Caenorhabditis elegans: one gene and its partners. The protein of the gene in region 3 purifies or fractionates together with the protein of the main gene of each other region. This does not show direct contact. Each region holds a gene or a part of one and is shown on either strand. Other genes may lie near its edges.

What was found.
Region 1: the proteins of brc-1 (region 3) and let-70 purify together in Caenorhabditis elegans (co-purification; one study listed by BioGRID). This does not show direct contact.
Region 2: the proteins of brc-1 (region 3) and msh-5 purify together in Caenorhabditis elegans (affinity purification with western blotting; one study listed by BioGRID). This does not show direct contact.

Annotation. Positions count from the first base shown.
Region 1 is NC_003282.8:11,077,875-11,087,201, forward strand, and holds let-70 (Ubiquitin-conjugating enzyme E2 2), read right to left. Parts: upstream 4,380-9,327; 5' UTR 4,334-4,379; coding exon 4,310-4,333; intron 4,262-4,309; coding exon 4,088-4,261; intron 4,041-4,087; coding exon 3,935-4,040; intron 3,890-3,934; coding exon 3,796-3,889; intron 3,750-3,795; coding exon 3,704-3,749; 3' UTR 3,212-3,703; downstream 1-3,211. Other genes in the region: Y5F2A.4 (C2H2-type domain-containing protein), read right to left, coding at 1-26, 72-173, 225-449, 505-604, 653-702; atg-7 (Ubiquitin-like modifier-activating enzyme ATG7), read right to left, coding at 944-1,144, 1,194-1,364, 1,417-2,010, 2,054-2,584, 2,635-2,787, 2,834-3,000, 3,050-3,176; klc-1 (Kinesin light chain), read left to right, coding at 5,861-5,897, 6,231-6,371, 6,415-6,731, 6,775-6,865, 6,913-7,705, 7,754-7,985; bcc-1 (SAM domain-containing protein), read right to left, coding at 8,317-8,357, 8,439-8,538, 8,584-8,726, 8,773-8,917, 8,964-9,150. UniProt on the Caenorhabditis elegans protein: Catalyzes the covalent attachment of ubiquitin to other proteins. Mediates the selective degradation of short-lived and abnormal proteins. Plays a role in the DNA damage response.
Region 2 is NC_003282.8:13,151,400-13,161,924, forward strand, and holds the start of msh-5 (MutS protein homolog 5), read left to right. Parts: upstream 1-3,833; coding exon 3,834-3,987; intron 3,988-4,038; coding exon 4,039-4,197; intron 4,198-4,244; coding exon 4,245-4,325; intron 4,326-4,381; coding exon 4,382-4,579; intron 4,580-4,628; coding exon 4,629-4,747; intron 4,748-4,793; coding exon 4,794-4,903; intron 4,904-4,970; coding exon 4,971-5,196; intron 5,197-5,965; coding exon 5,966-6,028; intron 6,029-6,078; coding exon 6,079-6,189; intron 6,190-6,247; coding exon 6,248-6,322; intron 6,323-6,596; coding exon 6,597-6,669; intron 6,670-6,716; coding exon 6,717-6,882; intron 6,883-7,367; coding exon 7,368-8,154; intron 8,155-8,229; coding exon 8,230-8,471; intron 8,472-9,021; coding exon 9,022-9,183; intron 9,184-9,229; coding exon 9,230-9,484; intron 9,485-10,258; coding exon 10,259-10,468; intron 10,469-10,515; coding exon 10,516-10,525. Other genes in the region: Protein disulfide isomerase crld-1, read right to left, coding at 587-724, 1,215-1,313, 1,373-1,499, 1,582-1,676, 2,347-2,449, 2,503-2,599, 2,663-2,745, 2,814-2,930. UniProt on the Caenorhabditis elegans protein: Crucial component in meiotic recombination, functioning at some point after the initiation step of recombination. Plays a role in promoting the crossover outcome of meiotic recombination events.
Region 3 is NC_003281.10:3,857,038-3,867,342, forward strand, and holds the start of brc-1 (Breast cancer type 1 susceptibility protein homolog), read right to left. Parts: upstream 5,922-10,305; coding exon 5,851-5,921; intron 5,798-5,850; coding exon 5,452-5,797; intron 4,996-5,451; coding exon 4,767-4,995; intron 4,718-4,766; coding exon 4,644-4,717; intron 4,582-4,643; coding exon 4,243-4,581; intron 2,185-4,242; coding exon 2,056-2,184; intron 2,009-2,055; coding exon 1,909-2,008; intron 1,400-1,908; coding exon 1,281-1,399; intron 1-1,280. Other genes in the region: acs-19 (Acetyl-coenzyme A synthetase), read left to right, coding at 7,468-7,527, 7,578-8,288, 8,413-8,528, 8,587-8,913, 8,965-9,793. UniProt on the Caenorhabditis elegans protein: E3 ubiquitin-protein ligase that specifically mediates the formation of polyubiquitin chains and plays a central role in DNA repair.

The DNA of each region.
Region 1 (9,327 bases), on a different chromosome or scaffold from region 3:
AAAGATGCTCCACACTCATCACAAACCTGAAAGTGTTTAAATATTTTTTGAAAAAAAAACCTGTAACTAACATTTGAGTATTTTCTACATTGCATATGATGTTTCCGTAAACCATCACTTCCTGCTTCTATTACTTCTTGGCATTGTTTACATTTGTGAAGTTCGTGATATGTCTGTAAAGTAGGTATTTTAAACTTGTTTCATCCGTGTTGAATAGAAGGTACCTGTCGATGAATTCTCATTTCATAAGTAGTCTTGAATAATTGCCCACATTTGTCACACGCTGTCCAGTCAACTTCTACTCCAGGAGCATTCGAATGCTTTCGAGAGACGTGGCGAGTTAAATGTGATTTTTGTACGAACTTCTCTTCACAAAATGTACATGAATAATTTCTGACATTAAGATGTGTCATTTGATGACGCTGAAGATGAGAAAGACGTGGAAATACCTGAAATTATTGGATATTTTATTGGATAACTTTTAATGAAGAATTATTTCCATACTTTATCACACATACTACATTTCAGTGGATCTGAAGCGCTTCTGTCATTCTTCGATTTCACAACATTTTTATGCATTCGTAATTCATGTTTTGTTAGATATCTGAAATTCATCATAGAAGATTAAAATATATTTTCAGGCTTTTCTTACCGTTTTAAATCAAACGTTTTCCCGCAGTCTTGACATTTGTGTCGTGCCATTGCCGGCTCAAATTAGATAAATTATTGAAAATACATCTTATTTATAAAACGAGATAAATCATTTAGTGCTTTCATGCTAACTTTCAGTAGAAGGTTTTAATAGAATTTACCCAAAATTTATTGATACAAGTATTATTAAAATTTGGAGGCAAAATAGAATCACGAGAATGAAAAATTGTGTCAGAGTACAGTCAATGCACAGTCAATTATACAGAAAAGGTAAAAATTTGAGGCGACCAATTCAGAAATCTTCATCATCCTCAAAATCGATATCAATAGCATTAACAGAGTTCTGAAGCTCGTCGAGCCCGGTGACTTCTTCGAGACGACCTGGCGAGTTCATAACGTCGCGAACAAACTTCCAGCCATTTTGCTGAAACTGTGCAGCGATAGCGTCTCCACAAGCAACACATTGATCGAATCGTTTTACAGAAGGAAGAATCTAAAATAAAATTAACGAAGTTAAAGCAAATAGAACACAATTATTATACCTGCTGGAATCTTCCCAGAAAACCGCGAATTTGATGTGGAGCAGCTCCAAGGACTGTTGTATTATCGTCGTGGCTGGCTGGTGTCTTGAGTGGATCAGGGTATTGTAAAACAGACGATAAGAGTTCAACGGCAATTCCAGATGCAATCATAGATGTTCCTGGTCGTGCAACCTGAAAGAAAGCATCCGTTTTGAAATAGAGGTGTGGAAGTTCAAAAACTCACAGTGCACTGTTGGTCCAATGTTCTATCGAAAGTAGAATTTCCTGGAGCAGTTACATCACTGCAGAAATAGCAAGAAAGCTGAGAGTATGGTACGGAATCTGATGATGAAACATCTGAAACACTTTCGCTTCTAGAACCAATTCCATGCCGAATGATGACGTAGGTATCGAATCCAATCGCGACACTAATTGCAATCTTCTTATGTCTACTAGCCAAAACTGTTGGAAGCCAGCGAGCTTCCCTTGAATCTAATGCTAGGAAAACAACATCATGATCTTTCACAAGTTGCTCCAATTTTGCAATATCTTTTTCCAGCTCTGGTACATCTTTTTCATCGATAGAATGTCCAGGCATTGGAACAGTGAGACGATGAGCAGTTGCTTGAATCGATGGGAAAATGCGTTGGATAGCAGCTTGTGCTGTTTCGGCTTTTCCACGACCCAGGCGTGCATCTTCAAATTCTGAGAGACTCTGGCGAACGGGGTTATTGTAGCTGACAGTTGAATTATCAAGAAACGAAATGTGACGAACTCCCCATCCGATAAGACAACGGGCAATGTTACATCCAAGCGTTCCAGCACCAAGAATGAGAACCTGGAATATGACAAAATATAAAATTTAAAATTTAAATATATACCTTCAGCTGTGAGTATCTTTCCAATTGAATATCTGGGTGCAATCTCCATTTGATTAATGATAAATTAAGATCCACAGATCTTTCCATTAATATTTTTGGATCGAACTCTTTACTTAAGTCTACTGAAATCGGCTGCAACTTATCATTTGCATTTCTTTCCCATCCCACAGCTTTTGGAACAGCATTCTGAGCTCCATCTGCTGAGCATTCAGCACTCGGCAAGGTCCATGTGTATTTTATTCCGATACTGTCAGCTGAACGAAGACTGATGATATGACAATGCTTCCACGTAGGATGAAGATGTGCCACTGCGGCAAGAACGTTGCGAACCATCCATCCTGCAGAATACGCAACAGGAGAAGGATCAGCGACAACAACACATATTTCGTCAGGATTTGTGTTGTTTTCCAATTCTGACAGTTCGAGCATTTTTGAAGATTGTTTGGAGTATAGGAAGATCGGAAAATTGTTTTTCCTATAAAAGTCGAACAGGATCTTGTGATCGGCTCCGAGAGATGATAGTGGTGTGATCTGAAACCGAAGAATTTACGAACTTCAAAGACTTTTAAAGATTTTTCAACCTCTTGTTTTATTTCACTAGGATATACCAAAGCAGGAACACATGTCCAATAATAATATTTGAATTTTTTCAAATCAGCAAAAGCGATGATGAAGAATTGCGACAGAAGACGAGGATTTTGGAGCCATTTTCGAGTTGTGATAGATTCCCAGATCTGAAATTGCTGACGATTTTGATTAACTATACGAAAGTTATTCTACCTTTTCTGCTTCACTTCTTATCAAATCACTTTTGTCAACCATCTTGAAACTTTCAATTGTATTGTACAGAAGAAGGGTACCGGACATTGACAATCCAGTTGTGCTCTCCAAACTGCTCAAACTGTCGTAACTTAAGGATAGATGACATTTAAAACCTTCGGTTTGATCTGTAATTTAAATTAAAAATCATCTGATACGGATATAGGCAATTCTTACGAAGCGATAATTGACTTGAGATACACTTTGGCGTCTCATCGAGTTTCCAATCATTGAGCTTTTTCTTGTTCACTTCGTTCCAAAAACCTGTATCAAGACAAGTAACAAAGGGAACAAACGTGGCCATCGATTCTGAAAGAAAAACAATGTCGAGAATAATAGACGCTCTTCAGTAATTTATTCAGGATTCTCAGACCGCCAGATGAAATAAACGAAGAACGAATGTGTGGTGGTTTGGAAGAAATCCTTTTTCAATTTCTCGAGAAAAATCAGAGGAAGGGAGGAGGGAGATTTGGAGACAAAATAGTTTAAAGGGGATGAGAGAGAATTGAGGGGATCAATCTACACCGTTCGATTTACTTTTGAATTATAAGGAAGAAATATAAAAGACCATATATATTTTACATCGCTTTGCTGACGACAGAAAATAATATGAAAGTGGGTATTTTTTGAAGGAGAATAATGTGTGGGGGAGAACAAAATCGATAAAAAGAGAACACAATTTATAGTACAAAAGAGGAATCGCCGGGGTTTGGTGTGGATTGAATAAGATGGAAAGGGTTTGGAGATGAATGGGAGACACAGAGAGGGAAAAGAAACACATGGTTTATTGATTGGTTTGGCTGCGTTCTTGTATGAATGGTGTTAGCCTCCTCACATAGCGTACTTTTGCGTCCATTCTCTCGCCAATTGATTGTACCTGAAAATCGATTATTTTTAGTAGTTAAAAGAAAATCTAAATTCACCTTTCACGATCCGTCTTGTAGATGCGTGCAATCTCTGGCACAAGTGGATCATCCGGATTTGGATCACAGAGCAGCGAGCAGATCGAAAGCAGAACTGAAAATTAAAAGTTAGAACGCGAACAATAATGATAATATCAACCTTTCGAAATGGTCAGAGCCGGCGACCACTGCGAACGGAGAATGTCAAGGCAGATGCTTCCGTTTGAATTGATGTTCGGATGATAAATTCGAGTGGTGAAGGCAACCTGAAGAAAACAAATTAAATTTATTTTTTTCCAATTTCGATCAATACCTTTGGTGGTTTGAATGGATAGTCTGTTGGGAAGTGGATAGTGAGGAAGAAGACACCTCCCTGATAGGGAGACTCTGGTGGGCCCATAATCGTAGCTTGCCAATGGAACAAATCATCACCAACTGGTCCAGCGGAGCATTGTGCGGGTGGATCACGGCCGAGATCTTGGAGTTCCTGAAACGTACATAATAATTTTATTGTTGTTAAGTGTTGAAACCTTACCTTCTGGATTCTTTTGAGAGCCATGTTGGTGTTCTGATTTGCTGATTGACCCGGCTACACCCGGAGTACTCTGAAAATAAATTTCGATAAATACGGTGAAATTGAGCTTCTGCTATAGGGAAAAATTGAAAGTGAGGATTTTCGCATGAAATAACATAAAGAGTACGGCGCGGCGCGGCGAAAAATCGATATTTAGAGGCGGTACAAAGTACTCAGTTTGCCCTTCGTGGTGAACTGTTACGTCACATTTCGAAACTAGTGGAACATTCTAGAAAGCGAAAAATGAGGAAAAATAGAACAGATATAAATTTGAAAACCAAAATAACATAAATTTCGGAAATTTCCTAATAAAATAACTAACGATGAGAAATGATGACAAATATGACACATTTTTACGGCTACAAGCCAGTGACACTCGAAAAAAATTTTAACGCTTAAAAGAAATGGACTGGAATATTACGCACAAAAAGCAAGCGATTCAAATCTTGTAAAATTTTCTTCACAATGAATCGAGACTGGGCAAAAATTAAAATTCAAGACGTATCACAAATTGTCTGGTTAGTTTTTTAAAAAACTATTCGGCATGTACGTATTATTTTCTGATTGAAACAAATGATTTCCAGATAATCACTCTGAAATCGACTAAAGACACGCGACTTGTCGCCTCACGAGATGGTGAGGAAGGAAGAAATGGCCATAGGCTGCGAGTGAGTGAGAATGTGTGCTGTCTGTGAGTGAAAATGAGCGACGGGGTGAGCGCTGAAGTGTCAGAACGACAGAGACAGAAATAACACAGGAAACGTAAGAGGGTACGAGGCAACGATCGATACGCAGCGCCATGGGTCTTGAGACGACCATCACACTCACTGCAATGCTGCAGTCGCATCGCAATGGGGATTGAAAGCGGAGAGAAGTGAAACTATAAGCACTTAGACACGAAACGCAGAGAGGTAGAGATATCTAATGACAAAGCGAGAGAGTGAGAGAAGCAGTTGATCATGTGATTCCACTGATTCAATTCAGTGTGGACGTGAGTGAACTTGCACTTTTCTGATGGTTACTAGATGACTGAAATTTGAACGCGGAATTTATAAAATTTTAGGACGAATGAACTTGAGTGTGTTTTCTTATTTCGTGCTATATGAGTCACGTGGGACAACGAAAACAAAGAGGTATAAAATAGGCCAAATCATACTTCGGAAGTGACTTTAATTTTGAGAAATAAGTTTTGCAAAAATGTTGTTCAAATTATTGATCGAGCACTAAATTCCCTAATCACTACTCACATGTGGAGTTGAAGTTATTTTTAAAATACGAATTCAGCGAGGAAAACCTTTAAAAAATTGGAAACAAGTACAACAGAACGAACTACAGAAGTTGGAGCAGGAAGAAAAATAAGGAACATCGCAAACGAACTGAAAAGAAACTGAAGAAATTAGAAGAAAATGAGTAAGAATGATGGACCGCCCTTGTTTCACAATCTGTATTTTGCCGCGTTCGAAATGGCGCCAAGAGATATGGAAAGCTCTTCCAATCAAAAAATATTTTTAAATGGCATACTGCTTGTCTATCCCATATTACGTTGAAGGTATTAATAAAAACAACAAAAATTTTTTAGAAAACATTAAAATAATCGAAAATTCACATTAAATTACGAGAAATTGTTGTGCAAACTTGAAAACAGTTGTTCGAAAACCCGCCGATTGTCAGGCTGCTGGATCTCGTGCTACCGTAGTCGGCACACCTGCACATCTATCTCGTCGTCTTTTTGTTCAATTGAATTCAACGCATTGAAATATTTCATTTTCATGAAATTAAATTTCATAAATTTGGTTTTGTTTTGTGATTTGTTTTTATTGTTTTTATTGTTCTTAAATTTAAGAAAAATTAACGTTCATCATCCGTACGAGACAATTTTCAGGGCTTCTCATTCCTCTAACAGTGATGGTTATTTCCTTGGGTGACGATATCACAACTGTCTTAAAGACGGTCCAACAAACGTTGTTTGCATTGCGAGATGAACACGAGGCTGCAACAAGGATATTGGAAGCTAATTTAATTAGTAAGACGATTTACGGAATGAGTACGAATAAAGTTTCTATCAGATTCAGACTCATCCGAACCTTCTTTGCCCAGTGAAAAGATGGGCTTGATTGATGAAAGTCTTGGGAAAGTTATGGATGGTGGTGATGAAGCATCTCTGCTCATCATGATGGACAAATTGATGCAATCATACGATGTTCAACTGTCAAAAAACCATGAAAGTATTAGGCTTCTGAGACAGGAAAACACCTGGCTTCTTGATGAATTGACAACCACACAGAGGAAGCTTCAAGAATCGGAGAGGACTGTCGCGCATTTGGAGGAAGAAAGGGATCACTACAAGTTTCAAGATTCCATGAATTACCTGAACAGTGATTTTGTAAGTCATTTATCTTGTGATTGGGATTAAATAACGCGTTTAGCAACACACTACCTCCGTCGATGCCACGCCCATGATGGTAGACACTCTACAGGAACTTGGATTCGGACCAGAGGAAGAGGATCAGAACAACAGTAAGTTTATTTGTTGTGCTACGAATTATGCTTGTTTTATCTTGCAGATCAAGCCGATCAGGGATGTCGCTCATCGTCTTTTTCCAATCCTATCAGTAACGATTACCAATTACCGACTCGCCTGCAAACGTTACAAAACCTGGTCATACAGTACATGGAGCAAGGTCGATTTGAAGTTGCGATACCGCTATGCAAGCAAGCTCTGGAAGACGTCGTGAAAGTTCACGGGAATGTTCATCTGGATGTTGCTACGATGCTCAATGTTCTGGCAATAGTTTACCGAAATCAAGAAAATTTCAAAGATGCTGCGATCTATTTGGAAAAAGCTTTATCCATTCGTGTACAATGTTGTGGAGAGAACCATCATTCTGTGGCGGCAACGCTAAACAACTTGGCAATCGCTTATGGAAAACGCGGAAAGTACAAGGAGTCTGAGCCTTTGTGCAAACGAGCTCTCGAAATTCGGAAAAATCTTCTAGGACCCAATCATCCGGATGTTGCTAAACAGCTCACAAACCTCGGAATTGTCACCCAACAGCTTGAAAAGTATGAAGAAACAGAAAACTATTTCAAACAAGCTCTGTCAATCTATAATCGTGCATTTCCGGAAAATCATCAAAATGTGATTAAGACAAAAAACCAACTGGCGTCTGTTTTCTTAAAGCAAGGAAAGTATCAAGAGGCTGAAGAGATGTACAAGAACATTCTCTCGAAAGTTGCTATCACCGGAAACAAACCAATATGGAGAATCGCTGAAGATCGCGAAGAAAGACAGCGAAATGGGATTCCGAAGGTTGACGATGAATCCTTTAATGTGAACCCGACAACTGTGATGGATAGGTTATTGCCTTTAATTAGTTTATTAATGATTACATTGTTATGTTTCAGCAATGTGATGTCAACTATAAAGAATTTGGCAGCAGTTTATCGTAAGCAAGGAAAAGAGGAAGCTGCAGGGACGCTGGAAGAAGCTTTAGGTGCGAAAAAACAAATCAACGGAGGAGCAGATCACACTAATTCTACTGCCTCAAGTGTTGAAACTTCAAGCGCCGTAGCTATTAATCCTGCTCAAAGTGGGATCAAAAAGAGAATCATGCATTTTGTCGGATTAAATTTCTGATTTCACATCTTTTCGTGATAATTTAGTTGCCGATCCCCTCTTTACGTTTTCCATGTCGCATACTCAAAGCCTTATTTTTGATATTTATGTATGGTAAATTAATTCGTATTAAATAATTGATGAGTTAAATATAGAGTTGTTTTTCATGGAGAGCTAATGGAACTGTACGCTTTGAATAAAGTATTGTCTTTAAAGTCCAATTCGTATTCTATGTGAAAAAGAAAAGTTCATTATTGTTTAAGAATTAGTTGAAAAAACAGCAAATCATGGATTTATTAGGAAAACCGGTGAGATTTCACCCCGAAAATTATTGAATCGTCGAAAATATAGACTAGACTGCATATCCGTTAAGTCGAGCCGAGTCGCGGAGCTCTGGAAAAGTTGCCATGGAAATATTATAACGCTCATTTTGTTATTTTTCTGCTCATACTAGGCAGAGAAAAGAAAACGAACTCAAAATTGCGTGATGAATCTTTTTGCGGGCACCAATTGTGGAAACTCCAATGTCCTTCAGATTCTGCTCGTCGAGCAGCAAAAAAGCATGCATGTCGATCTAAAAATTATAAAATACTTTTATTCAAATGTGCATGAAACAAACTTCCTGATCTCTCAACTGAGTCATGTATTCACTGCATCCAAGTTGTGCAAGAACCATGGAAGGATCCGTGAAATAATTAATATCCCATTGTAGATTATATGGAAGTGAGTTCGAATCGAAAACCGACGTTGATGCAGAGAACACTTCAACTTTTGAAAATAAAACTTTAAAACCCTTGAGAATTCAAACCATTTCTAGGTGGTTGTTCAAAGATTCTAGACATTCCATAATTAGTGGATGAAGCTGAAAAATCAGAGAGCTCTTCATCTTCTTCTCGTACACTACAAAGTCCCCGTTGTGAATGATTCATCATTGGAGGACCATTTGTGGATGGCTACAAGTATTTGATCAAATTATGCAACTTATTATTTCATACTTACTTCATTAGTTGATAAATCCATCATTCCTTTAAGTAAATCAGCTGGAAGAGAAGAACTAAAACCATAACCTGACCATAAATCAGTTGGATATCTTGGACTTGATAGAACTGAATCATCAAAAATTGCCTGCGTTGCTTTTATAAGCATTTCTCCTCGATCGGCTTTCGATTTCTTTTTCCAAATATCGCTGAAAATTTAGATTTTTCTTGGTTTTCTTGGTTGGTCGAATGTCGAAGTTAGTCTTAATTCAATTAAGTTAATTACATCCTATCACTTGTGTAATATTTGCCTTTTAAATTTGAAGTATCGTCCGTGGGGAATAAATCTACATATTGTTTTCCTACTTCAAAATAACAGAATATCA
Region 2 (10,525 bases), on a different chromosome or scaffold from region 3:
TTTATGAGGGTGGCCGAGTTTTCTTATATCACGGCCACGTAGTAAAAACCGTTCTGTGTGTGGGGTTTTGTGAAGAGGACGTTATATTCCTGGTGCACAAAACTCTGAGAATGCGTATTGCACAGCATATTTGACGCGCAAAATATCTCGCAGCAGAAAACTACAGTAAGATGACTACTGTAGCGCTTATGTCGATTTACGGAAATCATTTATTAATCGATCAAAAATATTGAACATTTTTGAAAAAATCACAAAAATTACAATTTGAATATTGCTGTCACTTTTTTCCCGAAAATCGAGCCCGTAAATCGACACAAACGCTACAGTAGTCAATTACAGTAGTTTTCGTTACAAGATATTTTGCGCGTCAAATATGTTGTGTAATACGCATTTTTTATGTTCTCGCAATATATTTTTTGAACCATGATTTTTCAGAAAAGCTCGTCCCTTTTTTTTGGAAATTTTTGTTTTTAATGCAATTTTTCGATTTTTTTTTGAAAACTGAAATTTAAATTAGATTATCCAGAAGTAAACCAGATCATGCTTTGTTAATACCACATTCAAATTGAAGAAAAAAAAAACGAACCTTCGACGTCAAATTGACAATTTTGCTCATCATCCTTCTTATATCCTTCCTTACATTCACACTTGAACGATCCGACAGTGTTCACACAAATTTCGTGCTCTTTTGTGCATGCGGACTCGTTTTGGCATTCGTTGACGTCTGAAATAAGGATTTTTGATTAATTAAAAGTTAAGATGGCGGTTCAAAAATTTAGAATTCTAAAAAAAAAAAATTGAAATTCGCATTGAATTTTATAGATTTTTGCATAGTGTTTCGGCAATTCTGCAAATTTTAATTTTTCAAATAAAATGTTTTTCAGCAAAAATCTGGTCTGGAAAATGTTAATTTTTCTCTATAAACCAGATTTTACTTTTTTTTGAAAATGACACGAAAAATCTATGCTTTTGTGAATTTTCCAGGTGAAAACTTCAAAATTCAGAGCTTTTTATCGGAAAAATCACGAAATTTTTTCACTTTTTCCAAGCAGAAATGGGGAAAAATCGCGAAATTTGTGCTCTCAGTCCCAGTTTTTTTTCACAATTTTTTGATTAGATAGAAAAACACGAAAAATGGAGATTTTTCAAAAACTTTTCTTTTTTTCAAGAATATTAAATGAAAATTCAATTTTTTTTTCCAACTTTTCTCATACCTGCGCACCCTTCTTCTGTCAATTTCCACCCATTTTTACATTTTGAGCATCCTTTTGAGCTCTCCGATGAGCAAACTCCAAGGCAGCCCTCGTGGCATTCTGAATTTTTTCAATTATTTATTTTTTCGATTTCAAAAATTAAAAAAAAAAAAACAAACTTTTACAAACGACACCCTGCACTGTCCGAGATTCTTCGAAATACTCGATATCACAGTATCGGCATAGATTTCCAGTATATCCAGTCTCACATTTACACTTTCCACTGCCTTCGCGGCTTCCATCTCCCTGAAAATTGGATTTTTGTTGGTTTTTTTAAAGGGAAAAATTAATTCTCAATTTTTCAAGATTTTAAAGAAAATTGACTAACATGACAGGATCCTTTTCCAAAACAGACATCAGCTTTTTCACTTAATCCAGGACATTGTTCGCAGTTTTTACCAAAGTGTCCATCAGGGCAGCACACTGAAATTTTTTTATTTATTTTTTGCTATTAAAAGTTTGGAAAATATTATAAAATATTGCTTAAAGGCGCACGTTATTGTTTAGATGGGTCTCGCCGCGAAAAAATATAATTACGGTTTTTTAAAATTAAATCCGAAAATTAATTTTTTTGCATTAATTTTCGCTTAAAGAATTTCAATTTTCAATCACAAATTTCTAGTAAATCGAAAAATATTAATTTCTAGCTATTTTTAATCAGAAAATTGTGAAAAATCGTATTTTTTCTAATAAAACTACAAAATTTTCGCGCTTTTCACAGTAAAAATAGAAAAAAAACTCAATTTTTAGTATGAAATTTGCAAATCTTTGGCGATTTTCAACGGGAATAATAACATTTTTAAGTTTTCTGGCGGAAATTTGTTGAATTTTGCGATTTTTTTGCTTGAAAATTCGGTTTTTATTGAAAATTAGGCTCTCGAAAAATTTCAGACTGGAAATTCAATTTTTTATTGATTTTTCGGGGTATATTGTGAAGAATCTAGTTTTTAAAATGTTCGTTTTATTCGCGATTTTCATTTAGAAAATAGCGAAAAATTCAATTTTTGAGGCCGAAATTCGCGAATTTTCAATGGAAAATGCGTTTTCTTTCGATTTTCATACGTTTTTATAGTCAAATTTAAGAAATTTTTACATTTTAACTGCTCAACACAGAGCCAATTTGACATATTATTGTGTTGCTGGTTGTAGTAGAACTCTTCAATTGTTTCTTCATGCTTTTCAAGTTGAGTAGAGCACTGAAAATATAGAAATTACAGGGTTTTTATTAAAAATTTAATTTTTTGAATACTTTAAACTCGATTTCTGCGATTCCCATAAAATTGTCCATATTTGGGAGCGACGATTTCTTGCAAACACCTTCGAGAACTTCGATTAGCCGGGTTTCACTGAAAATTTTGATTTTTTTTTTAATTTAAAATATTTCCAGCGCCAAATTTCGAGAAACCAACCTAGTTTTGTACTTTCCCAGATTTTTCTCTTCCCAAGCTGTGTCTCCACCGGCAAAATGATGGCGAGCCGTTTTTTTGAGACCCTGAAATTCGGAATTTCTTTTTATTTTATATTTTTAAATTCATTTAAATATAAAAATAGAGCACAAACCTCATCAAATGTGCTCACTAGAAAATTACACGTCCTGCATTTTTCGTTTTTGATGGTGACTTCTTTTTGTGACGTGGCACCAATTAATACAGCAAGCAGGAGCAGTATCCGGCTCATTTTCACCCTGAAAAATGGAAAAAATTGGATTTTTATGTAGCTTTAAGACACGACAAACCGTTATTTTAGAGAAATTACACGCAGAATAAGCGAATGAGCGCGGCCGAATGCACTGCAAATTGTCTACGTTGTCCAGTTTCTCGGCCCTGTGAGCGGAGAAAAGAGAGGGAGAAAAGAAAAATGAACAAATATTGGCTTTGACCGGGATTACTAGCAAAAGAGGTGACTGATGGAAGAGGGAACAATTAAATATTAGAAAAATTCGAAAAAGTTAATTATTTTCGCTGGAAATCACCTTAATTTGGGGAGTTTCGAAAGAAATTTTGATAAAAATAGAATTATCCACTTTTTATTTCGTGAAAAAAACAACAATTTCGACTGAAAATCCAGCTTTAATTCGAGAAATAACAAATATTTATTTATTTAATTAAATTAAATTAAATTAAAGAAAATAATTGAATTACTGTAGTGATCGTTGCGGGACCCGATGAACCGAAATCGGTATGCGCCTTGTAGTTACGGTAAGAAAAACGGGCGGTGTCGAGAATTTAATTTAAATTGCATTTCCAAAACAATTTTCCTCGTTTGAAAATAAATTTTACGAGTTTTTGGTTAGTTTAAATGCTAAAAACTTGATTTAATTTAATAAAACGTACCTAAAAATTCAGTTTCGTAGCAGAAAACACGAAAATTTCAGTTTTTAGTAAAATTTTCGGAATTTCTATTTTCAAGTCTTGTTTATAGTTACTTTTTATGGTGTTCAATCAACTTTTTGAAGTTTAAAATGTTTAAAACGTTTAAAATTACTTTACAAGAACCGAAAAAAACCGAAAATATTTCAATTTTTAGTTTTTCAGCAACCTTTTCTTAAATCAGAAATAATTTTATGAAATTTTGGTTCAAATGTCCACTCGATGGAGATATTACAATTCAAAACGCGGGAATGGATTCCGCGGTCGAGGCAGAGGCCGAGGTCGCGGTACAAGCTTGACCGCCGTCGCCTTACCCCGTGATGATAATTTTCACAAGGGAGCTCAGGATGGCGCTTATTTCAAAGGTTAACTCTAGATTATTCCTATTTTCTTTAAATAATTTATTAAAATTGCAGACATGCCGATGGATCCGGAGCAATTTCGGGATGAAACGGTGCTCAGTCTTTCTTTTGCTCAAGGAATGCTCGGAGCTGCCTACTACGAGCAATCAAGCCAGTTGTTGAAGATCATGAACGATATTTCAGAAGATCTTGAATTTAGATTCTTGAAGAGATGTCAGTTTTAAATCCAAAAAGCTTGAAATTCAACTCATTTTTTTCAGTGATAGACGATGTGAAGCCGACGCTAATAATCGCAAATAGAAGCCAGGATCTCGAATTTATCAAATTTTTGACCACGCGGTGTATGAAAATCATTATAAAAATTGAAAAAAAAAGATTTTTTTAAAATTTTTTTCAGATGATCCACAGGAAAAAATCTATGAAGACGGGACTACAGAAGAAGGAACATCAGAGGATACGGTTCCGACATGGGATTCTTCGCTAGCTTATTCTACTGACGAGACAACGGCGGAAAAAGAAGAAAAAGAAGAAGACGAAGATGATGATGACGAAGGATTACCGGCGAAGCTTAATAAGCTCCCGAACAACTTTTTCAGTTGCTTAATAATCTCCAAACATTTTTGATTTTAAAAATAAATTTGCAGGAATGTCGCGAGCTATAGAAAGATTAAAGGCGATGGCCGGGTCCCATGACAGTTCGATGACGGAAGAGGACAAGTACATTATCATCAAGATGAGATTTGATATTGAAGCTGTTAATATGGTTAGCAGATCTCTGAGCCAAAAAAAAAATTATTTTCCATCTTCAGATAAGATCATTTGGAGCACTTCTTCTTTTCCTCGATGAAACTAGGATGGGCGTGACAGACGATCCTTTGTCAGTCACTTCACCTATCAAATCTATCAAGACATTTACATTGTAATTTTACTATTTTTTGTTTTTTATTTCCCTTTGAAACAAAAAAAATCATTTTCTTCTTTTTCAGAGGAAACCTGGTAGAAATCGATTTCAACACAATTCAGGCGCTGGATATTCTGCCAAAGGAAACCGAGAATAAGAAGACTTTCGGACAAGGTAGATCACTTTATCAGTTGATGGATAAATGTAGATCAACCGTTGGAAAAAAGTGCCTTCGAAAATGGTTTAGAAATCCGACTACGGATAGAGATGATCTTGTGTCAAGACAAAAATGTGTGCACTACTTCAAACAGGTGATAATCTTTAAAGTGGAGTACCGAAATCTATGGGAAATATTTTTAAATCACTCCAAATTTTCCCCTGATTCCGAATATCTAAGTGAAAAAATATTTTTAAAAAAGAGATCCCTGATTTTATATTTCAGCTTGAAATCGCGATTTTCAAACGCAGAATTTTCGCGCCAGAGACGGCATGTGTCGATTTACGAGATTTGTGTATATTTACGAGATTTTCAATCTTTATCAGATGCTGATTTTCATTTTTCAACGAGTTTCTTTCATTTTCGTCGGTTTTGCCAGGTTTTTTTTTAAAAGAAAATGTGTTTTTAAGGTAAATTAAACATTATATTATCGAAAAACTACAAAAGTTTCGATTTTCTGTCGGGAAAAGAAATTTTGATAGATTTTTGTTGATATAATGTTTAATTAACCCTAAAAAACGCATTTTCAAAAAAAACCTGGCAAAAACCGACGAAAATGAAGGAAACTCGTTGAAAAACGGAAATCAGTATCCGATAAAGTTTAAAAATCTCGTAAATCGACATGTGGGGCGTCTCAGGCACGAAAGTTCGGCGTTTGAAAAGTCTCATGGGGACGCAAATGAAAATCGCGATTTCAAGCTGAAATATAAAATCAGGGAAATTTTTTTTGAATTTTTTCACTTAGATATTCGGAATTATGAGAAAATTTAAAGTCATTTAAAAAAATATTTTTTGTATTTCGGTACTCCACCTTTAATAAATTATCTTTTCGTCAAATATATACATTTTTTTCTCAAATTTAGGACTGGAACGCCGAAGTGACCGCTAAGTTATCATCAATTCTTGGAAGAGTGAAGGCTCTGAACGTATTAAATAGCAATCAAGTTTAATTTAATTCATTTTTGGCCGATTTCAGAGTGTATTCCAAAAATTTCAAAGTGGAACAGCTCAGCTCATTCATTGGGAGTGCTTCGTATCGACAGTCAACGCGCTTGTTGAAATCTTGAATATTATCAGGCAGACACCGGTAAATTCAAATAATTAATTTTTATAAAAAAGCGAGGTTTCAAATAATTTTTATTCAGATTTCGAAGGAGTTTCCTGTAGAATCAGATCTTCTCCGAGAAGTCTCTGAAATTGCAGTCATCGCGGGCTCCATTGTATGTTGCCAAGTGTTTTCTAAAATACGGTACCTGGTCTCGACACGACAAGAGAAGAGTACTGTACTTTCAAACTTTGTTGTCGCTGGCATTTTCGTTAACAATCTCGTGTTTTAACTCTTTCGTTGAAGTTTTTTAATCGGAAAACTGTGAAAAATCGATGAAAATTCCAGAGCAAAAAAAGTTTGCGATTACAGTAGTCGAACCACATTTATCAAAACTTTGCCGTGCCGAGACCAGGAATAAGATTTAAATCAAACTTCAAAAATTTCAGATCAACTTCGCAGAGTCGAAGATTCAAGGAAGAGTGACAGTGATGAATGGAATCGATGAAGAATTGGATGAAAGTATTTTTTTTAATTGTTTTCAAGCCCTTATTTTATTATTTCTTCAGTACGCGACACATATGAGAACATGCCAATGGTGCTCACTGCAATTGCTAAACAGGAAGAAGCTCGACTTGGTCTACCACCGTACTCTAATGTGGCGTGTGTCTACATACCACTCGTCGGATTTGTTCTTTCAGTTCCAAGAGATTACGGTGTGGAATCACAGCCTGAGTAAGCAATTCAAATCAAAATGAAATCACGCTCCACCCCTAAACGTTGGGTCTCGTTAGGAATCAACGGAAAATCCGATTTTCAAGCATTTTTGACCTTTTTTCAATTGTTTTTCTAGTTTTTATGCAAAAATAGTGCTAAAAAAGTGCATGTAAAATTGGACTTTGAAGTAGGTTAGTTTTGACGTAAAAAATAATGGAAACAACGGAAAAATGGTGGAATTGTCCAAACTGATGATAATAAATTCATAGGCAAAACTCATCTTCATATGCACTTTTCAAACATAATTTATACATGAAAACCATTAAAAACGGTTGTGAAATTGGCAAAAAAAAATGAAAAATCGGAAATTTGCCGAAAATGAAAATTTCCGGCAAATCGGCAAACCAGAAAATTGCCGGAATTGGAAATTTCCGGCAATTTGCCGATTTGCCGAACAGCAATTGCCACCCATCCCTGGTTCTCATCATATTGTAATTTCACAGCATGACTCTACTATACTCCACACACGAAGACTTACGAGTGAGAAATGCCACAACATCAAGATTAGACGACGAATTTGGAGATATTCTAATGAGATTAATCGACAGCCAGACTGCAATCATTCTCACTTTGAAGACAAGAGTGATGAAGAAAAAGCGAAGTATCATTAAACTTCTCTCTATTGCTTCTAGAATCGATGTGCTCATTTCGTTCGGCCTAATTGCTGCACAAAACGGATGGAATTGTCCTGCTCTTGTAGATGAGCCCGTGATTGAAGCCGTCGAGCTATATCATCCGATTAGTGTTCTAGTTGTCAAGAAGAGTTTCGTACCGAATCAAGTTAGTAGTGGTCGAGATGGAATTAAAGCAAGCATTATAACAGGACCAAATGCATGTGGAAAGAGTGTCTACATGAAATCAATTGGAATCATGGTTTTTCTGTCTCATATTGGAAGTTTCGTGCCAGCTAGACATGCGAAAATAGGAATAGTCGATCGAATTGTTACCAGAATGTTTACTGTGGATTCAGTTCTCGATGGGATGTCTACATTTGCAAAAGACGTAGAACAAGTTGCGTTGGCATTGAGGAAAGCTACTGGCAACTCATTGGTTATCATTGATGAGTTTGGAAAAGGAACAATGACAGAAGTTGGACTTTCTCTTTTGGCATCTGTCATGACTTATTGGATGAATAGGGGAGCTGATCGATGCCCTCATATATTCCTATCGTCACATTTCCACGCGCTTCCAAATTATATTCCTCTTGAAACTAACATTGCAACTTTCTTGGTGAGTTTTCTGTTTTTTTTTTCTTTGAAAAAATTTGTTAAAATAATTCTCTGAAATATATATATTCATTCCTAGACGTTCACAGTTCTCCGTGAAGCTGGTGGCAAGATCAAATACCTTTTCCGTATGACTCCTGGCTTGGTTGATTGCTCGTTCGCACTGTCGGTTGCTAAAGAGGAAGGAATTCCGCCACCTGTAATTGGAAGAGCTTGTCGAATTTATAAAGCATTAAAAGCTGGAACTCTACTCAAAGAAATTAAGGCAGAAGTTTCGAATGACAATGAAAAACAGCTTGTGGAAGACATGGATGTTGTTCTGTATGATTTTTGAAGTATTTAATGGAGGAAAATGACCAAAAATATCGGAAAAAAGCAATTGCCGTTTGGCAAATTTTTTGTCAAAAAATTCGGCAAGTTGCCGGTTTGCCGATTTGCCGGAATTTTTCAGTTCCGGAAATTTGCCGGAAGTTATTTATTTAATAAAACGGCAACACTTAAAACTGTGCCTTTAAAAAATAAAATTACCCGTTTTCTCTAGATATTTTCTTAGAATTTACTTACTTTTCAAAATTCATAAGATGCGTACAATTTCACAATCGAAAATTCTGAACCCCTGACAAGTCTTTTCAAAATTTAAAAAAAACACTTAATTTTAGCTAAAATACCCCATTTTGCCAATTTCTAATTTCCTTTTCGAAACGGAAAAGTTGTCGAAATTGGAGATTTAAGCTAGAATCAAGTGTTGTTTGTACTTTTTGGAAAAGTTCGGTACGAAATTTGCTCCTTTTGGGCTATTTTAAAGATAATAACGCGAAAAACCTTTGATTGGCTCCTACAACAAAAAAAAAATTAAAACTATATTTTGCAGTGCTGATGAAGATGGTTTCATGGCCGCAGTAGAATCATTTGTGAAAAGAAAGAAAACATCATTTTGCGAATCATCAATGCGAAATGTGAGCGAGGAAATTGAAAAGGAGAGATCAGAAGCTTCTACTCCGGCATCGAAAAGTCGCAGTACCATCACAGCCAGGTTATTACTGTGAAAATTGTTTTTTTTTAAATTAATTTTATTGTAGATCAAATAGTGTTCTTTCATCGCGATCGATGGCTTCAGTGGATCAACTTTCTGTGCTCGATGCCTTGTTACCAAAAAAGAAAAAGAAAAAAGTGACAGGTAGTAGTATGGAATCATCAATGTCTCCTGATCCATTCCAAGAAGAGGATGAAGGTACTGAAGGAGAGGAAGATCAAATAAGTGCACCTGTATCTCGACCAACACTTCCGTCTGTACAGAAATATGCCAGTGAAGAAGAGAAGCAGCAATCCATAAAGTATCTGGAAATTTTCAGTTTATTGTTCTTCCCAAAATTATAGAAAAGTGTTGGCAAAGAATTTGAGATTCTATTTTTTTTCGTCAATTTTCCAGTTTTTAAAGTTAAAAATTGATTTTCAGGGAAAAAAAAGAAGAAAAAAAATTCAAAAAATTTACTTTTTTTCAAATTTTGTTTAATAAGGAAAAGCATTTAAAAAAAATGTTTAGAAAAAATGTTTTAACGATATTTTTTATTTCAAAGAAAAATCGAAAATTAATTTTTTTTTCCATTTGTTAAAACTTTTCCAATTTCTCTATAAGAACGTTTTTATAAATTACAACAAAAAAAAATCGATTTCGGTCATTATTATTCTTTTTAGATAGAAAAACGATATGTTTTTGTGGGGTTTTACTCATTAAAATAAACAAAATTTTAAAATGATTTTAAAATTGTTGATTTTTCGATTAATTCTAAACCCCGAAAAATTAAAAAAATTCAAAATTTTTTCGACAACACCCCGGCGAAAAAATATAGAAATTATTTAGATAATTTTTCAATTCCGCAAAAAATAATCGAAAGGGCCGAACTTTTTTGAATCCGTAAAAAAATGTTAAAAATTAGGTCTCAAATCGAGAGGCCAAGAGAAAATGTAGAAAAAAAACGAATAAGTTTAGAAAAATGTCGAAAACTAGGTTATTCATTCGTTTTTTTCTTCAAAAAAAAAATTTAAAATTCTATTAGACGGTTTTCTGTCATTTCGGGCTGATTTCGTTAAAAAGTGCTCATTTTCAGCTCCCGACACTCATTCTCGACTCGAACTGCAATACATATTCCAACTCCAATCCAAATGGGTGAAGCTGGTGGTGTCAAAAGGCCTAGATCAACGTCTACTTCATCACCAGGTCCTTCAGCATCAAAATCAGTCAGAACTGAAGTTTTCAAGAAGACACCAAATGTGAAAGAATCACAAGTTCTCGAGACCCCAAAACAGCTTTCCATAAGGTGGGCTTTGGAAGCCCAATTTTTTTTGCATTTTATTGATTTTTCAGCTCATTCCTC
Region 3 (10,305 bases):
ATTTTTTAAATTACTATTCTGTATCACAAAACATTTTTTTTCGACTTTTATTCGCTTAAATAATGAGAAAAGCGCTTTTAGCCAGAGCTGATATTGACGAATTGTCGTCAAATAAAATGCGCGTACGCAAAGTACGCAATAGTGTACAAAACTTATTCGCGTTGAATATTCAGTCAGCCAAATGGGACTACTGTAGAAATTTCTTCAGCCACGTTAGCTTTGCCTCCCCGTGTTTGTTTTCTCTTGTTTTTCACCAATTTTTCCCGTGTTTTCTTATTAAAACTGATAAATAAATATTTTTTCCTAATGCTAAAATAATTTCCAGATGAAAAAAATATGTATTCAGTCGGCAAGTAGTGGTGAAAGTGGTCAATGTAATATGATGGATTACGGGAATACAAAACCCAAACTTTTCCCCAAACATGATACATAGATGTTTAGATGCTAAAAGTACCTGATTTTCATAACGAGACCGCTGAAAAAGTTTTGAGGTTTTCAAAATTCAACTTTTTATGCGAAAATCTCTACTTTTTCACCAAAAAAGTTGAATTTTGAAAACCTCAAAACTTTTTCAGTGATCTCGTTATGAAAATCAGGTAGTTTCAGCATCAGAGCAGCATGTGTGGGAAAAAGTTTGGGTTTTTTATTCCCGTAATCCATCATATTGCATTGACCACTTTCACCGCTACTTACAGACTCAATACACAATTTTTTCACTTGGAAATTGTTTTAGCATCTGCAAAAAATATTTATTTATTAGTATTAATAAGAAAAAATGGGGAAAATTGGTGAAAAACGAAAGAAAACACGCGGAAAACAAAGCAACATAAATGGCCGCTGAAACTTGTCGGGGACTCGGCCATGGCCTAGAAACCTTTTTGCCTCGTCCCTCGTTCGAAAAAAGTTGCAGTGTAATTCCCCCGTGCTCACCCCATATTTCCAACATTTTCCATATTTTGTCCCTGCTCACCCCATATTAAAACCTTTCAATTTCATTTTAAATCTGATCGTTTTTCGAATTATGCACAATCTCAAAAAACACCCAAAATAAATAAACAATTTCAATGAACATTAATTCCGATAATTTTCAAAATCACAAGCATGTTGGGTGTGTGTGTACTCTGCTCTGATAAACTCATTTTCATGTGAATTTTGAAAGAATTCGACCAGAGATCGCACACATTTATCAACAGAATTCACCACTTTTTGTATCAGACCATCTCATCGGAACATTTTTTTAAAGCGGAAATTAAAATGAAACACAAAAATTAAAATATTACCTCAGACAGTAAAAGACCCGTTGTTATACAATCTACAAGCCATTGACGTCCTACAATAACGCATTTTCGAGCAATTGCATAGAGATATGCTGTGGATTTTTGAGAAATTGAACGGCCTTCTGAAAATTAGTTAAAAATTATTTTGAACTAAAAATCGGTTTTAAATAGGTTTTTCTCGATGAAAAAATCCAACTTATTTTAAAATTTCGCGCGGAAAATCGAAAAACGAGAATTTTGTTTTTTCGAATTTCCGATATTTTGAGCACACTTAGATTTTTTTAATAGCTTAAAATTTTGGCAATTTTTTTTAATTTTTGGAAGAAAATGTACAAAATTTTATGAAACCGTTGTTTCTCTTTTTTGTAAATTTAATTTTCGGTTTTTCGAATATATCTGGGAAAAAAACCAAAAAATTGCATCATTTTAAAAATCTAAAATTCTCAATTTTTGGATTTTTTAAAAAGCGTTAAAAAAACCATTTTTCTGCAAAATGGTTCGATTTTTTATTCTGCCGTTTGCAAAAATTTGGTAAAATCATGGTTTTTTTTAAATTTTTTTCACAGATTATTTTTGAGAACAATATCTCTAAGAAAAAAGTCTTCCTCCAAATTTCACAGTTTTAACGAACCACTATTCATCATCACCAAATGAGTCGTGTGCTCATTCACATCCTCCGCAAATCGGCACGCATTTGACAAGAATTTGTGATAGAAATCGCTGAGAAGTTCCTGAAAAATAAGAAAATGTTTGAATTTCAAACATCCACCAGTCCCACTACTTCGTCCGCATCATTATGAATTCTCGAGCAAACAATTGTTTTTGGTACTTGTGACAACTCATCGTCGATTCGATCTTCGTCATCTTGAATTGCTTTCGGTGTACGGTCGGCGTCAAGGGTAGTTGACTGAAAAATAATTTTTATTTGGCTTTTTTTCAAAATTGGAATATTTTTGTTTTTGTTTTAATTATTATTTTTAGTTTTTCCGATATCTCCAATAATATTTCGATTTTTCTATCAGGTTGTCCCATAAGTTTTTGTACTATTTTTTTTTTGAAAAAAATTTATTTCTCTCAAGCGACAAGTAGTACTATTCACACAAGTATTCACCATTAGTGTCCACCACTTGTTGCCATTTACTAGGTAACATCATGATGCCACGGGAGAAGAAATCCGGCGAACGCGATGAGAAGAAAGTGGAGAGTTCAGTTTTGAGATGCTCTTCGTCGTCGAATTGCTTGTCGCGCATGTAGTCACTGAGAGACAAGAACAAATGGTAGTCGGTTGGTGCAAGATCTGGAGAATATGGTGGATGCGGTAAAACAGTCCAACCAAGATCTTGCAGCTTTTGGAAAGTCTTCTTGGCGACATGAGGCCTAGCATTATCGTGAAGAAAATATAGTTTTTCATATTTTCCGTTGGTCTTTTCTGCAACTCGGTCCAATTGGGCACAATAGTAATCAGCAGTGATAGTTTTATTAGTTGGCAACAATTCCCAGTGCACGGGTCCTTGAACACCCCACCAGACACAGATCATAATCTTTTTTGGGTGAAGATCAGGCTTTGGCGTCGGTATTCCTTTCTCACCGATCGGAAGCCATTGACGTTTTCTGGAATGGTTAACATAGAGCACCCACTTCTCATCTCCAGTAACCAGATTGTTCAGCCAATCGAACTTTCGACGAAAAGTTAGAAGTTGAGTACAAACGTTGACCCGAGTGAGCTTCTGTGATGCCGAAAGTTCATGAGGCACCCAAATTCCAAGTTTTGAAGTAAAACCAAGGCGACCCAAGTGACGTGCAATTGTGCTATGACAACACTCAAGCTTCTCTTCCATTTCACGAAGACTAAGACGAGGCTCTTCCTCCACCAGCTTCACTAGGTCTTCTTCATTTAACTCTACCGGTCGCCCAGAACGTTCTATTTCTTCGAGACTGAAGTCGCCGTTCTTGAACTTTTGAAACCAACTCTTTGCTGTATTATAAGAGAGTGCTCCCTCACCCATCGCACCGCATATGTTTCGTTCCGCTTCCATTGCTGAATGACCAAGACGAAATTCATAAAGAAGAAGCAATCTAACGTCTCGACGTTCAAGTTTGATGATTGTCATCGTGGCAAAGTAGAAATGGATGAAATGAATCTTTTCTGAAAGGGGACGACCCGACCTTGACACGACCTACGATGAAAAAATTTTAAAACTTTCTAGAAGTTTTGGAAAAATATTTGAAAAAAAGTACAAAAACTTATGGGACAACCTGATATTTAAAAAAAAATTGCTTAAAAATTTATTTTCAAATTTTTTCTTTAAAGTTATGCTCGAAATTATAACAAAAATGGAAATTTTGAATGAAAAAATATTTGCATTTTCTCAAAATTATGTTTTTTTTTCGGGTTCAGCACTTTTTTATAAAACAATTCAACTTTTTTTAAAATTAAAATTGAATTTTTCTGTTGAAAACCATATATTCCAGGGGTGTGCGGCAAATCGCAAAATTTGCCGAGCTCGGCAAATTCGGCAAATCTCTTTGTTCAATATTTGCCGAGCACGGCAAATTCGGCAAATTTGCCGAGCTCGGCTAATTCGGCAAATTCGGCAAATTTGCCGTGCTTAACAAACTCGGAAATTTTTGATATTTTTTGATGTTTTTGGACCACCAAAACTACCGAATTCTTAACACACATCTGGCTTCGGAATCAGTTCCGTGTAGTATGTCTGCTTAAGCATCAAAATAACTCAATTTTGTGTCATTTTACTGAATTTTTGGCGAAAAAATCAGTAGTTTTAGTCGAAATTGTACTGTCAAATTTTTGACGTGTGCGGCAAATTTCGAAATTTGCCGAGCTCGGCAAATTCGGCAAATCAACTTTTTTGAAATTTGCCGAGCTCGGCAAACGACAAATTCGGCAAATTTGCCGCACACCCCTGATATATTCTGCACACAATGATTTTCCTATATTTCTTACACTTGTAGCACAGGTAACATTTGCCAGATCATCTTCATCAATTTGTAGTTCTCCTTCAGAATCTTCTACAACTTCATCATCATCTGATGCTACGACCACTGGCTTTTTCACTGCAGTATTTAGATTCAAATCGATCAAATTTTGAGTACTTTTGAAAACTTCAGGCTTTTGGGCTAGTTTTTGGATTGGCTCAGGAGGAGTTTCCAGCGATTCAGAAGCTGTCATAATTTTTATGTTTTCAAGATCTTGAGAACTCGCAAAGGATACTCTTCGATTCGCTGGTTTCTCTGATTTTTTCGGTGGCGCCACATGGAATTTCTCCATTAGCTGATTGATATTCTGCAAAAAATATTTTATTTCAAAAATTATTTTCCTCTAAATAAGCCCGAATCATCACAAACATTTCGAAGAAATTGTCGCATCGTCGGCATTAATTGGAAAAGTGCATCGATTTCATCAATCTCTGTCGAATTTTCTGGAAAATTGGCAAAAATTAGCGAATTTTTTTTTGATTTTTGACCAACCTCGGAGGGTATTTATGTATTCTTCAATATCAACATTTTTCAGTTCTTCTCTTGATATTTTATACGTTTCTGTAGAGGTTTCCACGTCTTTTTTCAATTTTTCCAGCGGGAATACTCGACTTTGGAGCTCTACAGGTTGTTTTGTGGCTGGTTCTGGCGGTTCTACCGGTTCTGCAGGCTCCTCGGCGAATGCGCTCGGCGGTTGTGGTCGACTCGGTCGCTTTCGGCGCTGAAAATACAGATTTAATGTTAATAGAGTCAAAATAGCCCAAAAAGGCCGAATTTTTTAATGATAACTTCGAAAAACGGACTAAATTATGCAAAAACTCAAAATTTTTCAACTATTTAGCTAATTAGCAATTTGTATTGCATTTTTAATTTTTTTTCCCAAAAAAATACACTAGAAAATGTAACTATAGAGTCCAGTTTTCCAAACAAAAAAAAAGTAAAAAATATTTCTTTTCTGCTTTTTTCGTGTTTTTGACGAAATTTTTTCGCAGTCCGCTATGATTTTCAGTCAGAAATTAGCAAATCGATGAAAAAAGTGTGTAATAAAATTATTAAAAATTGATTTAATCGCTATACGACACAAAAAAAGGTGAAAAATGTTTTTATTTGACATTTTAGAAATATTTTTAGTGATTTTCTTTTGGTTTTAATTGGTTTTTTGTGCCAAAAAGCATACCACTGGCAAAAAAGGTATAGCAAAATCTGGAGCGCATCGTTTTCCATCATTCTCTGGAATAATCGTGATATCCAGCGGCATTTGACTTTCCATGAACATTTTCTCTGGCGGCAGTGACTTGAACGTATTCATATTCTCAATATCTTTTTTAAATGCTTCTGATAGCTTTAAATAGTTCTGCACAGCCATTGTAATTTGATAAGTATCTCGACAACTTCGCTTATCCAGTACACTTCTACAAATTGGGCATTGAACTTTTCGTTTTCGTTCGAAGCAAGCGTTAATGCAAGAACGACAGAAAATATGGAAACATGTGGACAGAATTGGATCTTTGTATGTTGAACAGCTGAAAAAAAACCAATTTAAGGTTTTTTTGTTGATTTTTTGAAAATAAATTACCAAATTCCACATTTCAGTTCTTTTTGCAGTCGTGCCACTGTTTCTGTGATCCTCAGTGCAACATCTGCCATCTGAAATTAAATTTTAAACAAATAACATTTCATTTTAATTGAAAAATCAATAAAGTAGGTTAAAATACAAAATATTTGATTTCAAAACTCCCGCGCTGAGGGGGCATCAGAGAACACTCATTGCAAACCTGCTCCACTGACAATCGGGGCGGAGTAAAGCGGAGAGGAGAGAGCGCCCCGCCTCCCCGCCGGTGCCTATATTTCAGTCGGTGCCCCCGGTCTTCGCCAGCATCCCCGCTTTTCCTCTCCCTTCTCTGATGACTCTCTTGTTTTTCCATATTCTATCAAGGAAATTCCCTTTGGAAATCCTGAGACTTCAAGCTACGGAGAATATTTTTTTTTAGAAAAAGAAAGAAAAAAAGAAGAAAGAGTGCGCGAAAACGATGCTGCTTTTTCGGTTTTCTATCTTTTTTTCTTCTTTTTCGGCTTTGAAAAAAAAAACATTTTCTGGATGGTAGCTCTTTTTGGGAAAGCTTTATGCAGTAGTTTTCAGTTAGTTTAGCTGCTAAATATCATTTTTGCAAGGTTCCGTTCAAACAAATTTTGCAAACACGAATTTTTCTTTTTATAATATTTTACTTTAATATTCTGCTTTTTAAAAAAATTTTAAAACCAAGATTAAAGATATATAATCTGCTTTTTTCCTCAAAATCTAGATGATAAAATTTTTAGAAAACTAATGTAGTTCAAAAAACTCCACATCTTCTCTTAACTCAAAAAAAAACAATTTTTATAAAAAGAGACATTTTTGCCGTTTGTCGCGATAACTTGCTTTATTAAAATGCCAAATGTGGTTTTTTAATAAAGTAATTAATTAATGTTATTGATTATTCAAATTTTGAGAAAAAAACATAATCAAGCCTTTAAAAATCATTAAAAAAGCAGAAAAAAAACACAAAACACACTATAAAAATTAATTTTTTAAAAAAATTTAATTGAGCAATTAGTGCAATTTTTCGTAACGGTGCTTGCGTACTGTGCACTTGATCCGACGACATCTACAGTACTAACTTTCTCATCTTATTTTTTTAAACGTTTCCACGTCAAATTTTCAACTTTCCCGGCGGTAATTTTCAGATTTTCATAATCAATTCTGACCAAAATACCAGCAAAACTCTGCACTCGAAGGTCAATTTTATTTATTTTCTCTCACTTTTTCCTCTCTCCGCCGTCCCCTTTCGTCCACCGTTTGACCCCATTGATCACACACAACCGTAGATTTGTTTTCTGATCGTTCTTCGAAATTCGTTTATCAGAGAACTGTTCAAACCGAATTTTAGGAGTAGTTTGAAATATAGAACGTGACTTTACTGGTAACAAATTGTGAGAAATCTAATAAATAGAAGAAAAAACGAAACGAAATTGTATTTCTCGCGTTGTGTTATTGAGTTTGTTTTCTCCAGTTTTCCTTTTTTTCTTTCTATTTTCTTTTCTTTTCCAAGTGTTTGTTCTTTGTCCTGCTCACGGTTTATGGTGCCATATTTCGCATGTTTTACCGCATTTTCTTATCATAAAGTGCCTCATTTTCAGGTTATTGCATCTCATCATGTCGGACGTTCGCGTCAAGTTCAACCTAGCCAACGATGGAGAAGGTCTCGACGAGGATGTAAGAATTTATTTCTTCGAAAGAATACTTTTAAAACCAATAGATTTCAGATTTTCCTCCCTCCAGCCCCACTCCTTGCCGGTGCTCACTGTGCTGGCCTTCAATCTTACCACGATTTGTACCGTTCCTCGATCAACGATGCTGACGAGTTCTGGCGTACCGTCTCATCTGAACTCCATTTCGAACAAGGAACCTCTAAGGGTCTCGAATGGAATTTCGACTCGAAAGCTGGAAATGTCTTCGTCAAGTTTATGGATGGAGCCAAGACTAACATCTCGTACAACTGTTTGGAAAGAAACATTAAACGTGGATATGGAAACAAAATCGCCTACATTTTCGAAGGAAACGAGCCAACCGACACCTCCACCTGGACATACAACGAGCTACACGCCCAAGTAGTCCAATTCTCCGCTGTTCTGAGATCTCATGGCGTCAAACGAGGCGATGTGGTTGCTTTATATCTTCCAATGATTCCCGAATTAGCAGTTGCAATGCTTGCGTGTGCCCGTATCGGAGCAATGCATTCTGTTGTTTTCGCTGGTTTCTCTGCCGAATCACTTGCCGCTCGTGTTGTCGACGCTCGCTGCAGAGTTTTGGTTACGGCGGACGGAGTTTTTCGAGGAGCTAAACCAATTGGGCTCAAGTCAATTGCGGATGCAGCTGCCGTTCTCGCATCGCAGGAAGATGTCAAAGTGGAAGCTATCATTATGGTGGAACACTTAAAACGAGTCACGAAGCCTGATGGAGTGGAACTTCCCAAGGTAACTAAATATAATAAATTTAATGCTCTAAAATGCTCAAAGTAGTCTCAAATTCAGAAAAACCAGAAAAAAATTAAGTTTTATTGATTTTTCATTTAAAATTACAACAAAAAACATTTTTCAGGTCGATTACACCGATATCACCGTCATCTACGATTCGGAGATGCTCAAGTGTGCAGGCGTGGATTCCCCGGTAGAATGGATGGATTCTGAAGATCCGCTATTTATTCTCTACACATCGTTAGTTCAGAATTAGAATTTACTTATTTCTCATTTAATTCAAATTGTTAATTTTCAGTGGCTCAACCGGAAAACCGAAAGGTATTCAACACACTACAGCTGGATACATGACGTACGCCTACGCAACCACAAAATACACTTTTGATGCACAAGAAGACGATGTTTACTGGTGTACTGCCGATTGTGGATGGATCACCGGACACTCGTACCTTCTTTATGGACCTTTGATGAATGGGCTCAAGGGAATTTGGTATGAAGGTGTGCCGACTTATCCGACTCCTTCTAGAATGTGGGATGTCACTGATAAGTATGGTGTGACCAAGCTGTATACCTCACCAACAGCCGCAAGAGCTCTTATGGCTCTCGGAAATCAGTGGCTTGAAAGGTAATAATTATTCAAAAATAATTGTTCAGCATCTTTATTTTTAATTTTCAGCTCTTCTCGCAAAACTCTCAAGGTTATCGGAACAGTTGGAGAGCCCATCAATCCTGCTGCATGGATGTGGTTGTACAAGCAAGTTGGACTTTCCAATGTATCCATTGTGGATACTTACTGGCAAACTGAAACTGGAGGACACATGATCACATGCCTTCCAGGAGCAACTCCAATGAAGCCAGGAGCAGCTGCAATGCCATTCTTCGGAGCATCTCCAGTTCTTTTGGATGCTGAAGGTCGTGTTATTGAAGGTCCGGGAGAAGGATCACTATGCTTTGATCGTGCCTGGCCTGGAATGATGCGTGGAATCTATGGAGATGAGCAACGCTTTGTCAAGACCTATTTGGCTCCATTCAATGGATACTATTTCACTGGAGATGGTGCCAGACGTGATGAAGATGGATACTTGTGGATAACTGGACGTGTTGATGATTTGATGAATGTCAGTGGTCATCTTCTGTCTACTGCTGAAATTGAATCAGCTCTTGTGGCTCATGAGAAAGTTGCTGAAGCTGCCGTTGTTGCTGCTCCACATGACATCAAGGGATCCTTCCCATACGCATTCGTCACTTTGAATGTTGGAGAGAGAATCAATGAAAAGCTTGTGGCTGAGCTCAAGAAACTAGTTCGCGAGAAAATTGGTGCATTGGCTGTTCCAGATGTTATCCAAGAAGCTCCAGGACTTCCAAAAACTCGTTCCGGCAAGGTTACCAGAAGAATCTTGAGAAAGATTGCTGAAGGATCCGAAAGTGGAATCGGTGATACTACTACTCTAGTCGACGAATCTGTCATCAAACAACTAATCTCTGGACGTTCTGCACGTGCATAAACGAACTTGAACAATTGTAAATCAATTCAATTCTTACTATTAATGTTACTTTTTCTGTATTACTTCTCTTTTCCCCCTCTATCGTTGTAATTTCTGCAGAATCAATGCAAGATCTAAACTTTTAACCCCAACATGACCTTCTTTGTAATCAAGATGCATTCCCTGATTGACTCCTGTGTAGAATTAAATTCCAGTGTTGTAATTTCCCCCAGTAATTTATTGAACCCTGAATTCGAAATTAGAAAACAAGTAAATGATTCAGAACTGATTAATTGTTTTAACTCAATTTCAGATTTTCAGATAACAATTTTGGCTTATTCGGATAATTAAAACACGAAACATGAAATTACAAGAAGAAGATTAAATACTTACATGGAGAAATGCATTTCATATGCCCAGTGAATCTGATGTTTAGCTCAATTTTTATGAATTATGATAAAAACCACGAAAGTTCAATACAAAATAATATTTGATTTAACTTGCATTGCAAAATTACAGGAAAATGAATTATT